Coturnix japonica: one gene and its partner. The protein of the gene in region 1 purifies or fractionates together with the protein of each later gene. This does not show direct contact. Links are inferred from orthologs where the notes say so. Each region holds a gene or a part of one and is shown on either strand. Other genes may lie near its edges.

What was found. The genes of interacting proteins can lie anywhere in the genome.
Region 2: the proteins of UBXN7 (region 1) and NPLOC4 purify together in Homo sapiens (affinity purification with mass spectrometry; 3 studies listed by BioGRID and IntAct, with this or other methods). This does not show direct contact. The link is inferred for Coturnix japonica from reciprocal best matches to the Homo sapiens genes UBXN7 and NPLOC4.

Annotation. Positions count from the first base shown.
Region 1 is NC_029524.1:3,592,478-3,598,586, forward strand, and holds the start of UBXN7 (UBX domain-containing protein 7), read left to right. Parts: upstream 1-2,482; 5' UTR 2,483-2,518; coding exon 2,519-2,591; intron 2,592-3,633; exon of another isoform or gene 3,634-4,778; coding exon 4,779-4,926; intron 4,927-5,684; coding exon 5,685-5,752; intron 5,753-6,109. Other genes in the region: E3 ubiquitin-protein ligase RNF168, read left to right, coding at 1-569. UniProt on the Homo sapiens protein: Ubiquitin-binding adapter that links a subset of NEDD8-associated cullin ring ligases (CRLs) to the segregase VCP/p97, to regulate turnover of their ubiquitination substrates.
Region 2 is NC_029533.1:5,192,814-5,198,092, reverse strand, and holds part of NPLOC4 (nuclear protein localization protein 4 homolog), read left to right. Parts: intron 1-178; coding exon 179-358; intron 359-1,545; coding exon 1,546-1,632; intron 1,633-3,255; coding exon 3,256-3,327; intron 3,328-4,002; coding exon 4,003-4,129; intron 4,130-5,279. UniProt on the Homo sapiens protein: The ternary complex containing UFD1, VCP and NPLOC4 binds ubiquitinated proteins and is necessary for the export of misfolded proteins from the ER to the cytoplasm, where they are degraded by the proteasome.

The sequences.
Region 1 (6,109 bases):
CTCCCAAAAGAAAGTCTTCAGAACCACTGGCTGAAGCAGTGGTTGATGCTGACTTGGATATGCTTGACAAGAAGAGAAGAACTTTCCCAGAAACTTTGGAGGAAGAAGCGGAGTGGAAAAGTGACTTTTATTTGCAAATGCAGAAAGCTTTTGAGCAGGAGCTCCATGAAAGGCGCGTGCAAGAGGAGCAGGACAGGCTGCTGGCTCTGCAGCTGCAAAGGCAGTTCAACAAGGAGGAGAGGTTACTTAACCGACAGAAAGGATCTCCAGATGAATACCTTCTTCGTGCCAAAACACCTCAATCTGTGAAAGACTCTTCTAGAAAAGGAAGTTCTAAGATGGCAAAGGACTCAAAACAATCGAAAAAGCAGAGTGAAACAAATCACCACAAGGGTCGGAAAGGTTCTTGCGATGAAAACTGGCAGTCTCCTACCAGGGTCCGAATGAAATCACCCAGCAGTGGGAAAGTCTTGAATTGTGTTGTTAACACCAATGATTCAAATGATGTTCATTCAGTGCCTAAGAGAAGACAAAAGACAATCCTTCAGATGCTTAAAAGCCCTGAGTAGAACAGCAGAACCACAGGCACACGGTTACGTTAATCGGAATGAAAACCATGGTAATGTTTATCCCTGTGTCAGGCCAGGCTTCAATTAAAAAAGTTACGGAATTGATGGTTTTGAGGGTTGGGCCGCAAGAGTGACCAAAACTGACTATTAAAATGTACTGTGAATGTTGTTGAGAAGTTTAAACACCTTACTCCTCTAGACCTTAATATTTAGTCCTTTCTCGACTATAGCTTCTTTTCTAGGACTTGCATTTTCAAGCTGTTTTTTTGTTGGTTTTTTTTTCACGCTGGAAAGTAAATACTGTTATTGTTTGAGATTCAAAGTAACTGATGGTCCTAGAACGAGAATTCAGAGCCTTTGGTGGGGACTGTGTAATCCCCAGAGGAAGCAAAGAAGTGTGTCTGTATCTCTGGTTGTCTGACTGTGAGACTGAGGCTTTACGAGGCACAGGCACTGTTCTGTTAAACCAAAGGGTTGTGTTAAACTGAAGGACGTGACTGGAATGTGGTTTATTTGTTGAATTGCATTGTTTGCCTGGCAGTTAACAGGATTGTAACCAGATAAGCTAGTCTTGCAAAGGCATTTTCCCTCTCTCGCATCCTCTCACAGAGTAACCCCTTTCTTAGGCAAAGGGGAAAGAAAGGATCATTCTTCCACAGTCAGAGGCAGGGATCTCTCATAGATGCCAATGGCAGAAATGGTTGTGGGCTCGCATTTACTTCTGTTCATTTTTGTTTTCTTGTTGTTGGCAGCCTGTAACTTACACAGTCTTGCCTGCATTTACTGCTATTTAACTTTCATGTGCAAACTGACTCGAGTCTGATTCTAAGCACCTAATATTCAAAAATTATTAGTGCAGGAGACAGTTATGTTGGAGAAAGTAAAACCAAAAGGGGGAAAAGCCATTCGAGTTAACAGTATTGACTGTATTTAACTTCCAGCTGGCGTTCAGCTGCTCTGCCTGGCTGTAACTGTTGCTCCGTTGTTATTATTTTCTGTCTTCCAGTTGAGTTTGATAGTAAAATAATTCAAAAGAATTTCAGTTTGGATGTTCTGTGGAGCTGACAGCTCCAAGTTGAGGCCTTGGGAGCAGTTTGTGAGCTGCTAGTCAGCAGGTAGCGGCCCTGTTACATAGTTCTCTATTTTGCTATTGTGGAGCCCAGCTTTTGGCTTTTCTTTGGATGCAGCGATATATTTCTCAAGTGTATGTTGTTGGATGAGTGCAGAACAGCAGCTGAAACCCGTGTGCCCTTTGCTGAATAGCAGACGTTCAAGAAAGTGCACTTTGAGGTGTTGTGGATGATCCGTAGACTTGAACTCAGCTCTAGGAAACTTGTAACAGATGTTTTTCACGTCACCTTGATGGCACATCTCTGCTAACGTTGGGTTCCTCCTCAATAAGTGGAGAATTCAAAGAGCCTTCTTGAGAAAGCTATTACAGGTGACCTGCTGCAAATAGTTCATTATCTCCCATTGCTGCCTCAGTCGTAGCGCTGGAAGCCTGTTTGTTATCGACCCCTTTCTGTGTAATCCTTATTTCAGTTTGCTTTCCTGTCACCCAGGCAATCAGATGGAATCCGTTGTTGATTACAGTGTTCTTCAAGGCAGAAGTACTGACTGCCTTCTGTGCTTAACATACTTTTCCTGTCACGATGAGCATGCAATAAGTAAACTCTATTTCCAGAACAAGCCGAGTTTTGTGCCTAAGTCTCAATCCAACCCCGTCTTAAATCATCCCACTTGCTGTATCCGTTTGATTTTTCACTTGTTAGTAACTCGATGCCCGTCCCTCTGGTGCCCGTTCCCCCTCACCCCCCCCTCACACAGCCCGGTTCCCGCCATGCCGCCCCGCCCCGCACGGCGGGGCCGAGGAAGGGCGCGGGCGGGTTTCGCGCTTGCGCAGTGCGCGCGGGCCGGCGGCGTGCGTGTTGTTGTGCGGCGGCGGCAAGATGGCGGCGCACGGGGGCTCGGCGGCCTCCGCGGCGCTGAAAGGGTTAATCCAGCAGTTCACCGCCATCACGGGTGAGGCACACGGAAGGCCGGGCCCGGCGCGGCTCCGAGCCGCTTCTCGCTTCGTCGAGCGGCCGGGATGGAGGAGGAGGTGGAGGAGGAGGAGGAGGAGGAGGGCCGGGCGCGGTGAGGCGGGGGCCCGGCGGGGCGGGGGGCCGGGCCTGTCAGCGGGGCGGCGGGTGGGCGCGGAGCCCGCCCCGGGAAACGCGGCTCCGGAGCGTCGGGCAGCAAGACCCGCCGGACCGACAGCGGTTCGGAGAGCGGGACGGCGGCCGGCACCACGGCTGGGATAAGGGCCCGCATCGCTGAGCAGCGTCCTCTGGAAGTGACCGTGCGGAGCATCGCGGGGTCGGTACCGCGCTCAGCAGCGGGATGCGGCCTGGACACGGGGCGTGCTGCGGGCAGCGAGCGGGACGGCACCTGCACACCGCAATGCTGCGGGGTTACGGGGCGTGGGATCTGCTGACAGGACCCTCGCTAGTATGAAAGATGTGTCTGTGCTTACAGCGTGCCCCGGTGTGTGTCTGATGTTTTCATTCTCAGCAGTGCCCCAAGCACTGAGAGCCAAGCAGAGCTGTGCTGTTCGCCCAGCAGCCCTCTGCTCGTGTAGGTGGGTTATGGAGATGTCTAACCCTGCTCCTACGCTCCGAAACAAGAAAACAAGAGGCTACTGGGCTCTGCCCGCCCACTTCTGAAAGAGGGGTTTGAGGTTCTGTCTTGTTGTTGTAATAGGATGTAAGGTTCTGTTTAGAAGGGAGTTCTTGCGGAGCTGTCTGACCCTGTGGCGCAGTGACAGGTGCTGCACTACACACCCTGTGTCGTCAGCCTGCACCTCTGGTGTGACCCTGCTTTCCCAGGGGTGTACACTGGATGCTCCAAGCCCTGTGGTGCTGTGTAAGTGCGCAGAGCTACCCATGTTTGTGTGGAAAAGGTGAAACAAAACCCATCCTGCCATCTGCTTCCAGCACACCTGATGGTGTAGAATCACAGAGTCACTGCGCTTGGAAAAGACAATATAAACATCAAATAGAGCTGTCAGCCCATGCCTACTCACCCATAGTCCTCAAATATAGTTCTCAGCAGATGTTTTGTGATGCTGGTTTCCTTAGGACTGAGGAAGATTTGGTACATATATATTCTGGTCCTCCTGAATGAGCAGCGCAGGGTGGCTGTGCTCTTCTATTTTGATTAAGGTCCTCAAGCACAGCCAAGTACCACTGAGGTGCTCTTGTGGCAGGTTGGTTTGCAGTGGGTTTGTTTGGAAAAGCAGTTACTTTGGTCGACCTGGCTTTCTTTGTGATGTAATGTAATAGCTCAGGTCATTTAGTGTTGCTTTATCTCAGCAGACTCAGTGTGTGTTCAGCGTATCAATCTGTTTAATCTAAAGCTCCGAGGACTTCCTGGAAAATCTCAGAGACACCCAATGGAAGCAGGTTAAATGTGTTTGCTCAGAGTGGCGTTAGCTGTCATTCTGATGCTGGGGAAATGGAGTTTTCTTCATTTCAGTGAGTTGTGGTGAAGCTGGTAAGAATTATTACAGACCAAAAGCTGCTCCCAAACTGGTTCGGCTGCATTTTGCCACTTTTCTTCTACACCAGCTTTTCCATATTAAAATAGACTCTTTGGCAGCCTCTACCTATAGAAACTTAGTGTAGTAAATGGGCTCTTAAAAGGTTGGATGCAGGAGAGATTCATTTGGTGAAGGTGCTTTTGTTGTCTGTGTGGCTTTGAGGAAGCTTTAGAGGCAGACCCTGTAAGGGAGAACAACTAACAATTAACTGAGCTTCTGCTTGTTTGTTTTTGCCTTCTGGAGCACTCAGTGAAACAGGGAATCTTTAGTTTCTATCTTTACATATCTGTTAGAGGTGGGTAAAAACCTTTGGCACTGGGTATAGTATTCTCACTGTTAAAATATTAAATCAGTTGGTTGTTTTGTTTTTTTCCATATAACACAATAGAAGTCAAACTTAATAAGCAGAATTTTCTCCCGATGGAAAGGGGAAGTGTGGCTGTTGTTTCCTTTTCCCTTGAGGTGCGTGTTTGTCTCACCTCATAGTTGTGCCTTAGGGATAAATGGCACCTGCTCAACTGCTCTAATGGTCAGTGCCTTAAAAGAGAAAGCTGGTTAGCTGTTCCCGTTGCTTCTGATCAGAATGCTTTACAAAGAATGCTTCAATATATATTTGCTTGGCATTGCAGGTGCCAGTGAAAGCGTGGGAAAACATATGCTTGAAGCATGCAACAACAACCTGGAGATGGCTGTCACCATGTTTCTGGATGGTGGAGGCATAGCAGAGGAGCCCAGCACCAGCTCTGCAGCAGTGTCTGCAGTTCGACCACACACCGAGTACGTACTGCATAAAAATGAGTAGTCTGTCCTATAAGTTTCATAGTGTAAAGACAGATCAGTTAAAACACTTGTTCTTTCTTTGGACCTTCTGTCATCTCAGTGTAACATGTGCTTCTTCAATGATCTCATTTAATTGATTGCTTTGATATTTTTCTTAATAAATAAGTTTATCTTGCTGCACAAGCTGGTCTCTCTTGAGTGTGCTTCAGAAGTTTTCCATTGCATGCACATGCTGTTGTTGCAGGCATAGCTCGAGTCATTGAAGTGAGGATCCAGTGAAAAGTGGGATCTTCTGGCACATCAGTAACTTAATATTCAAGTTTTTGTTGGAATACTTTCCTTTTTATACTGGACACCCTTCAGGTGCTGGTCAGCTTAGTTTTACTTCTAGGAAGAGAGGAAAATAAGTATGCAAATACAAAATGGAGAATAAATAGCTTCACAACAGCAATCAAAAGATGTGGAGGCTAGTAGTAAGGTTAGTGCATCTTGCTGGTTGTACAAGTTACTGTTTGAAACCAAAGTGCAGAAAGTGCTAGATCTTAATGCATAATGTGCTGCATCCTCCTTCAGTGCCTTGAGTAGGAGTAGAGGATTCCTTGAGGTCTGTTTTGACTCCAGATCTCTGATTCTGTGCCATGGTGCAGCAGTGTCCTTAGCTGGTCCAGGCTGCAGGTGCATTTGGAACACAACATTTCATGGTTTATTTAATACTTAAACATTACTGTCTCTGATTTTCCTTTTCTCTTTGATAGGGATGAAGTACGAGCTCCAATTCCACAGAAACAGGAAATTTTAGTAGAGCCTGAGCCCTTGTTTGGAGGTAGGCTTGCATTCCTATTTCATTCTTTGTTTTCTTTAAATACCTTGAAATCATCTTCATATGATGAGAAAAACAAAATCTCGTGAACACGAGGAAAGCAGTGTGCCTCTTTTTGTTTGTGTTTTTGCCTTATTGCAGCTCTTCAGCCATCTAACATGCCTGCATGCTTGGAAATATACTGATGATTAAAACCTTACGCATTAGAGATGCTGTATTCCCAGTGGTGTTAATTTGCTAACTCGTTTTTCAGAGGACTTCTCTAGGCACCAGCCAGTTAGCAATACAGAGTATACATCTGTGCTCTTGGGGCTCAGAACCATGTGATGCTGCTGCAAAAATGTTCAGACTGATAGGGTG
Region 2 (5,279 bases), on another chromosome or scaffold:
AAGAGTGGTGGTGAAAGCTGAAGCAGAGGGGAGGGAGGCAGCATTCCCCATTCCTGTGGTACCATGGTTCAGCTGTAAGGGGCTGCGTGCATCCCGGGCAGCTGGGGAAGGTGTTGGCAATAGGTGAAGGAGCTGGACCCAGTGGAGGATGGCCTGACGCTTGAACTTTGTCAAACAGAAATACAGGCATGTTGACAACATCATGTTTGAGAACCACACAATTGCAGATCGCTTCCTCGACTTCTGGCGGAAGACAGGAAACCAACATCTTGGGTATTTGTATGGACGGTACACGGAGCACAAAGACATCCCTCTGGGGATCAGGGCGGAGGTGGCTGCCATCTATGAACCCCCACAGGTAATACAAGCTGTGTACCCAGGCGTCACTGTTGACTCATAAAGATAATCGGGGAACAAAGAAACACTTTTCTGTTTGGGTAATCTCATGCAGGGTTTCCTAGTGCAGCTCTATAAGGAAAAAAAGTCCCACGAGAATGACTTTTATGGCCCTCTGGTTGCTAATGTCATCACTAGTTATTGCCACTGAAAGAATGTTAAAACCCAGGTTAGCTTTTTATTATTCTTGCATCATCTTTTATGTTCCTCTGTTCTCTGATTACCATTTCCAAGGTTATGGTACGATTGAAAAACAAATTATATGCTAACAAAAAAATGGTTAGCCTTTGCTTTAATTTCTTACCAGCTCTCCAGGAAAACTTAAAGCAGCTTATGTAGACAGAAATCACATCTTCTGCTTTATTGGGTAACATTGGTACCTCAGAGTGGGAGCAGCTGAGTCCCCACTAGATGGTGCACGGCACCACCAAGTGCTTCCACAGCCCCGGCAGGTTCTGGAGTCCAACCTCAGCCAGCCCAAAAGCTGAGCTCTGAGTTACAGAGCTGCAGACAGAGCCTTTTGTGAGCTCTTCTACTTATTTCAAATACCCACGCAGCCATGCCCTCTGTTTTGGTCTTGCTGTTAAATTCTCACTTTGGAAGTTTGTGTAGTTTATTTGTGCATAGCAAAAGCAAGGAAGTTTTGCTTTGCTGGCAAGCAGTCTCTGCTGTGCTTCTTGGCAGAGCATCTCCCCACATGAGAAAACTCGCCTCTGAAGCACACTCAGATGGAGTTGTGTTTTCCAGGCCTGCGTGGCAGCCCCTGAATTCCCTGAACTTCTGCCTCTGTACTGCTCAGAGACTGCAACAAATGAAAGGGCAGGGCAGGACTGGCAGGTTGAAGAGAGCTTTGGAAAATTATATAATCTCTTGCCTTTTCCAAAGCTCTCAGAAGCAGCGATAGCCTGTTTGTAAGTGCTGAGCAAGAGTCTTTCATTCATAAACCCCTGCGTGGTTTGCAGGCCCACCCGGAGAGCTCCTGCAGGATGAGGCTGTGAGTAACAGAGGTCTCTGGAGTGAGAGCTGTCAGAGCTAATGCTGAAGGAAAATGCAGAACTGCTCTTCCATTCCCTGCCTTTCTCATGGTGATGGTTACGTGTGCTGTGTATTTTCCTGTTCTGTTTTACTAGCAAGATTTTCTTTGTGCAGATCGGTACACAGAACAGCCTGGAGATCCTGGAAGATCCGAAAGCAGAGGTTGTGGATGAGATTGCTGCCAAGCTTGGACTGAGAAAGGTTAGGATGGTGCTGGATATCACGTGTCTTTTGTATGGCAGTGAAGAAAGTCACCAGCAGTTCTCTTCAGCTCAGTGGGGCTCCTGAAGACCATTTGGGTTCATATGAAATCTAGCTTAAGTGTTGGTAGCTCTTACCCTTCTAGGTCTATTAAAGAAAGAAAAAAAGCAACCACAAATGTTTTTGTGAGGATGAGCATTCAGGGCTGTTCAGCTGCAGTCAGCAATCCTCTGTCATGAGTGACATCAAAGAGAATAGCAAAGAAGGAAAAAAACCACTATTTTCCCTTTATTTCTCCTCTGACAGGAGCTGTTCCTAGTAGCATCTCCCCAGCAAGTGCTAATTTGGCACAGCTGTAGCTGGAGTTGCCTTCTGAGTTTATTCCTCCTTCTGGCAGAATCTGCGTTCCGCTTCCAGGAGCGGAGGCTCCTGCTGGATTTTTATTCTCATCAGCAGGTCCTGCCTCTCAGTGCTGCTCAGACAGGCTGTGGCGAGCTAATCTGGATGTTGGCTGGAGGTTCAGGTCCCCCAGCATCTGAGCCTCAGTCCTCTGTTCCCCATGTGCCCGTGGCCTGCCAGTAATCCAATCAGGGCATACAGGCACTGGGCTCTGCTGGCTTGCTGACGTCTCTCAAACCTGTACCGATATATTTTTGTGGTTTGGGAAATCATTTGGTATCATGTGAATGCTAGGAATGAGACGTACACAAACAAGAATTGACTTGCTAAAGAACATGCAAATCAGAAGAGACTCGGTGCAGCAGACTATAAACATCTGTGGTGAGGTCTTTTGTTCTCTGAAGATAAGATCTTTAGCATTTTCCAGTGTCTGAACCAAAGCTTCTGTATGCGTTGTTTATTTCCATCCTTTAACTTTGCTTCTCACGCCAGATATTTTTAATCAATGTGATTTAACACGCAGCTTACTGCTGGGTGCAGGTTTTTGTCTGTCTGGGGTCTGCAGCATTGACCCTTCCCCTGAAGGGTTAATGCTTTGGGAGTCAGTCACGAGGGGCTGATCAGAGCTGTTTTTAGCACACGTGTAGAAGGGTTCATGCAGCGGTGCGTGTGTGTGTACACATCTATAGTCCTATGTGCAAACAATGCAAAAAGCAGGAATGTATTTTTTGGAACGGAGCGGGTTGATTTGGATTGAGTCACACTCCAGTGGGAGCATGTGAGCTTTATCTTAACTAGGGACTGCAGGCTTCAAAATGAGATCATGTGAGCTGCTTTGTCATCTGCTGGCACTTCTGATGCTGCTTTGCTCTGAATGCTCGATAGGAAATGCTTTTTGCTGTGGGTGGGAGGAGGTAGCGGCTGAGAAACCTCTTGCAGCCTCCAGATCTTTCCATGAAAAAATATTCCATAGTGAAACATAAAGCTGCAGGTGCCCCCGGCTGGCCAGCTGGCACGCTGCTCCTGGAAATCGTATTCAAATGAGCCCAGCACAGCTGGGAGAGCCATTTCCTTCAGGCAGCATGCAGCAAGGCTGCGCCAGGAGCCAAGAACATCTTGTCCTGCTAGGAGAAAATGTATAAGCTCTCTTCTGTGGGTTTGGGCTTCCTTTTTTTTTTCCCTTCTTTTTTTTAAAGCAGTTTTCTCCATAACGCTGCTTTATAGGTTGGCTGGATATTTACTGATCTGGTCTCTGAAGACACACGGAAAGGCACTGTTCGGTACAGCAGGAACAAGGTGAGACTGAAAGGTGTCACTCATCACCACCACTCGTATCGAGGGTTTGTCTCATCACCTGATTGCTGGCTCTGCCCAACACAGGGAGTCAAGGGCTGGGGGTGACACTGGGGCTGAAATTGTTGTGATGTGTGGGTTTCAGCTGCTGAAGGAAAAGGAGCTGGAGCTCTAAGAGCACCGTTAGAGGGGTTGTTGCTGTTTGGATAGATGGCAGAGCTGCCTGCAGTCCTTCACCTGTTCTGCTTTAAGAAAATTATGCTCGTGGTTTAAGAAAAATTGAGTGGAGAGAGAGTTTCTGTGTCATGCAAGTTCAGCAAGCAGAAGTGGTTGAGTCAGAGGATGTGGGCAGGGCTTTGTGAGGCATGTAGCTCGAGTCCTGAAACTCTGACCTTCTCAGTTACCTGTAATTCTGAAATCAGGGATATCCCTTTAGAAAATGAAACACCATAATAAAATGAGCCTGGAAAGGTGGGTGGAACCAAAAGTGGGATGGTCGTTCTGGCAAAAGTCAGGCTGATGGCTGGAGAGCTGATAAGTCACATTCTTAGTCTCTGCTGCTTCTAGGAAAGCTTGTTTTACTAGGGTGTTGGTAGTTTTCCTTGGCTACAGACCAGGGAAATGGGTCTAGGCTGCATCGTGTTGGCCTTTTTATTGACGTTTCTGCTCTTCCCTCAGGACACTTATTATCTGAGTGCAGAAGAGTGCATCACAGCTGGGAACTTTCAGAACCAGCACCCCAACATCTGTCGCCTTTCTCCAGACGGTCATTTCGGATCCAAGTTTGTCACAGTTGTGGCTACAGGTATAAACAGGTTTCAGCTTGCCCCAGCTCTCTTGATTACACACAAATGATCTTTTGTTAATGGAAGAGGAATATGCAGCTCTGCCAGAGGAAGTCAGTTGTCTTGGTCCCCATCTGTCCTATTTAACAAGGGCTTTGCCTTGTTCCATCAAGTAAAATACATTTTTGTTCCTTCTTTGTGTTATCTTCTTTTCAACTATTTACCCTGTCCCCTGCAGGAATCTCAGTTGATGCTCATACCTGGAGCACCCGCCTCTCTGCTCCAGAAAGCATTTTTTGCCTGCAGCTGAGGGAATATCTGTCAATTGCTTTTTTTTGTTTCACGTGTTTAATCTCCAAGTCCTGTTGCCTGAAAGCAGCAGTGCAGAACCACAACAATCCAAATCCTGAAAGTTATTCTAGGTGATTCAGCATAAAGGGGGGATCTCTGTCTCCCCCCTTGTGCTGCCGACAGGGAAACTCTTAACATAGGATTCCCTGCTCTTCTGTGCATGGAGATGTTTTTTGGTTGCCCCAGTAAAACAGAAGCCTGCGCTATGCTTTGCTTTGTCACCTCTGATTTTAGCCACCATCACAGCAAGTCTCTGAAGGTGATGGGCTGCAGGGTGATGCTGGCATGTGCTGGGAGAGTTGTAGCATTAGAAGCATTAGAAGTTCAATCTGTTCTTCTTTGTGTCTGTGGGATGACACACATGTATTCACTTAACGTTTCCCCGAGCAGATACACTGGGTCCTGGGTCTGTTCAGCACAGTGAAAAAAAACCATGACTTCCAAACAGCATCCAATATGAAAACTCAAAGTGTGATATTATATTGCCACTTCCAAGCTCAGATTAAGTGTTTTTCAAGCCTTTTTTAGTGAGAATGCTCCCACAGTTAACAGAGCCATGCAATCAGGCAGCTGTCCTGCATTCCAGGCTGCTGAACACATCAGTCTTCCTTTAAACATAAATGTGTATCTCACTCGTTTATTTTATTTATTTTTTTCTTTGTTTAAACAAAGCGTTTTCTTGAGCAAATGATGGCTGGCTTTGTCCAGGCCTTCCTCATGTCTTGCTCTAAGTTTAATTCCTAGGAGTGTTTGTTCTGGAGCAGTGAGTGATTCAGGTTAGAGATCAAAGGGAAGAAAAGGAATATTTCCTCTTTTCTG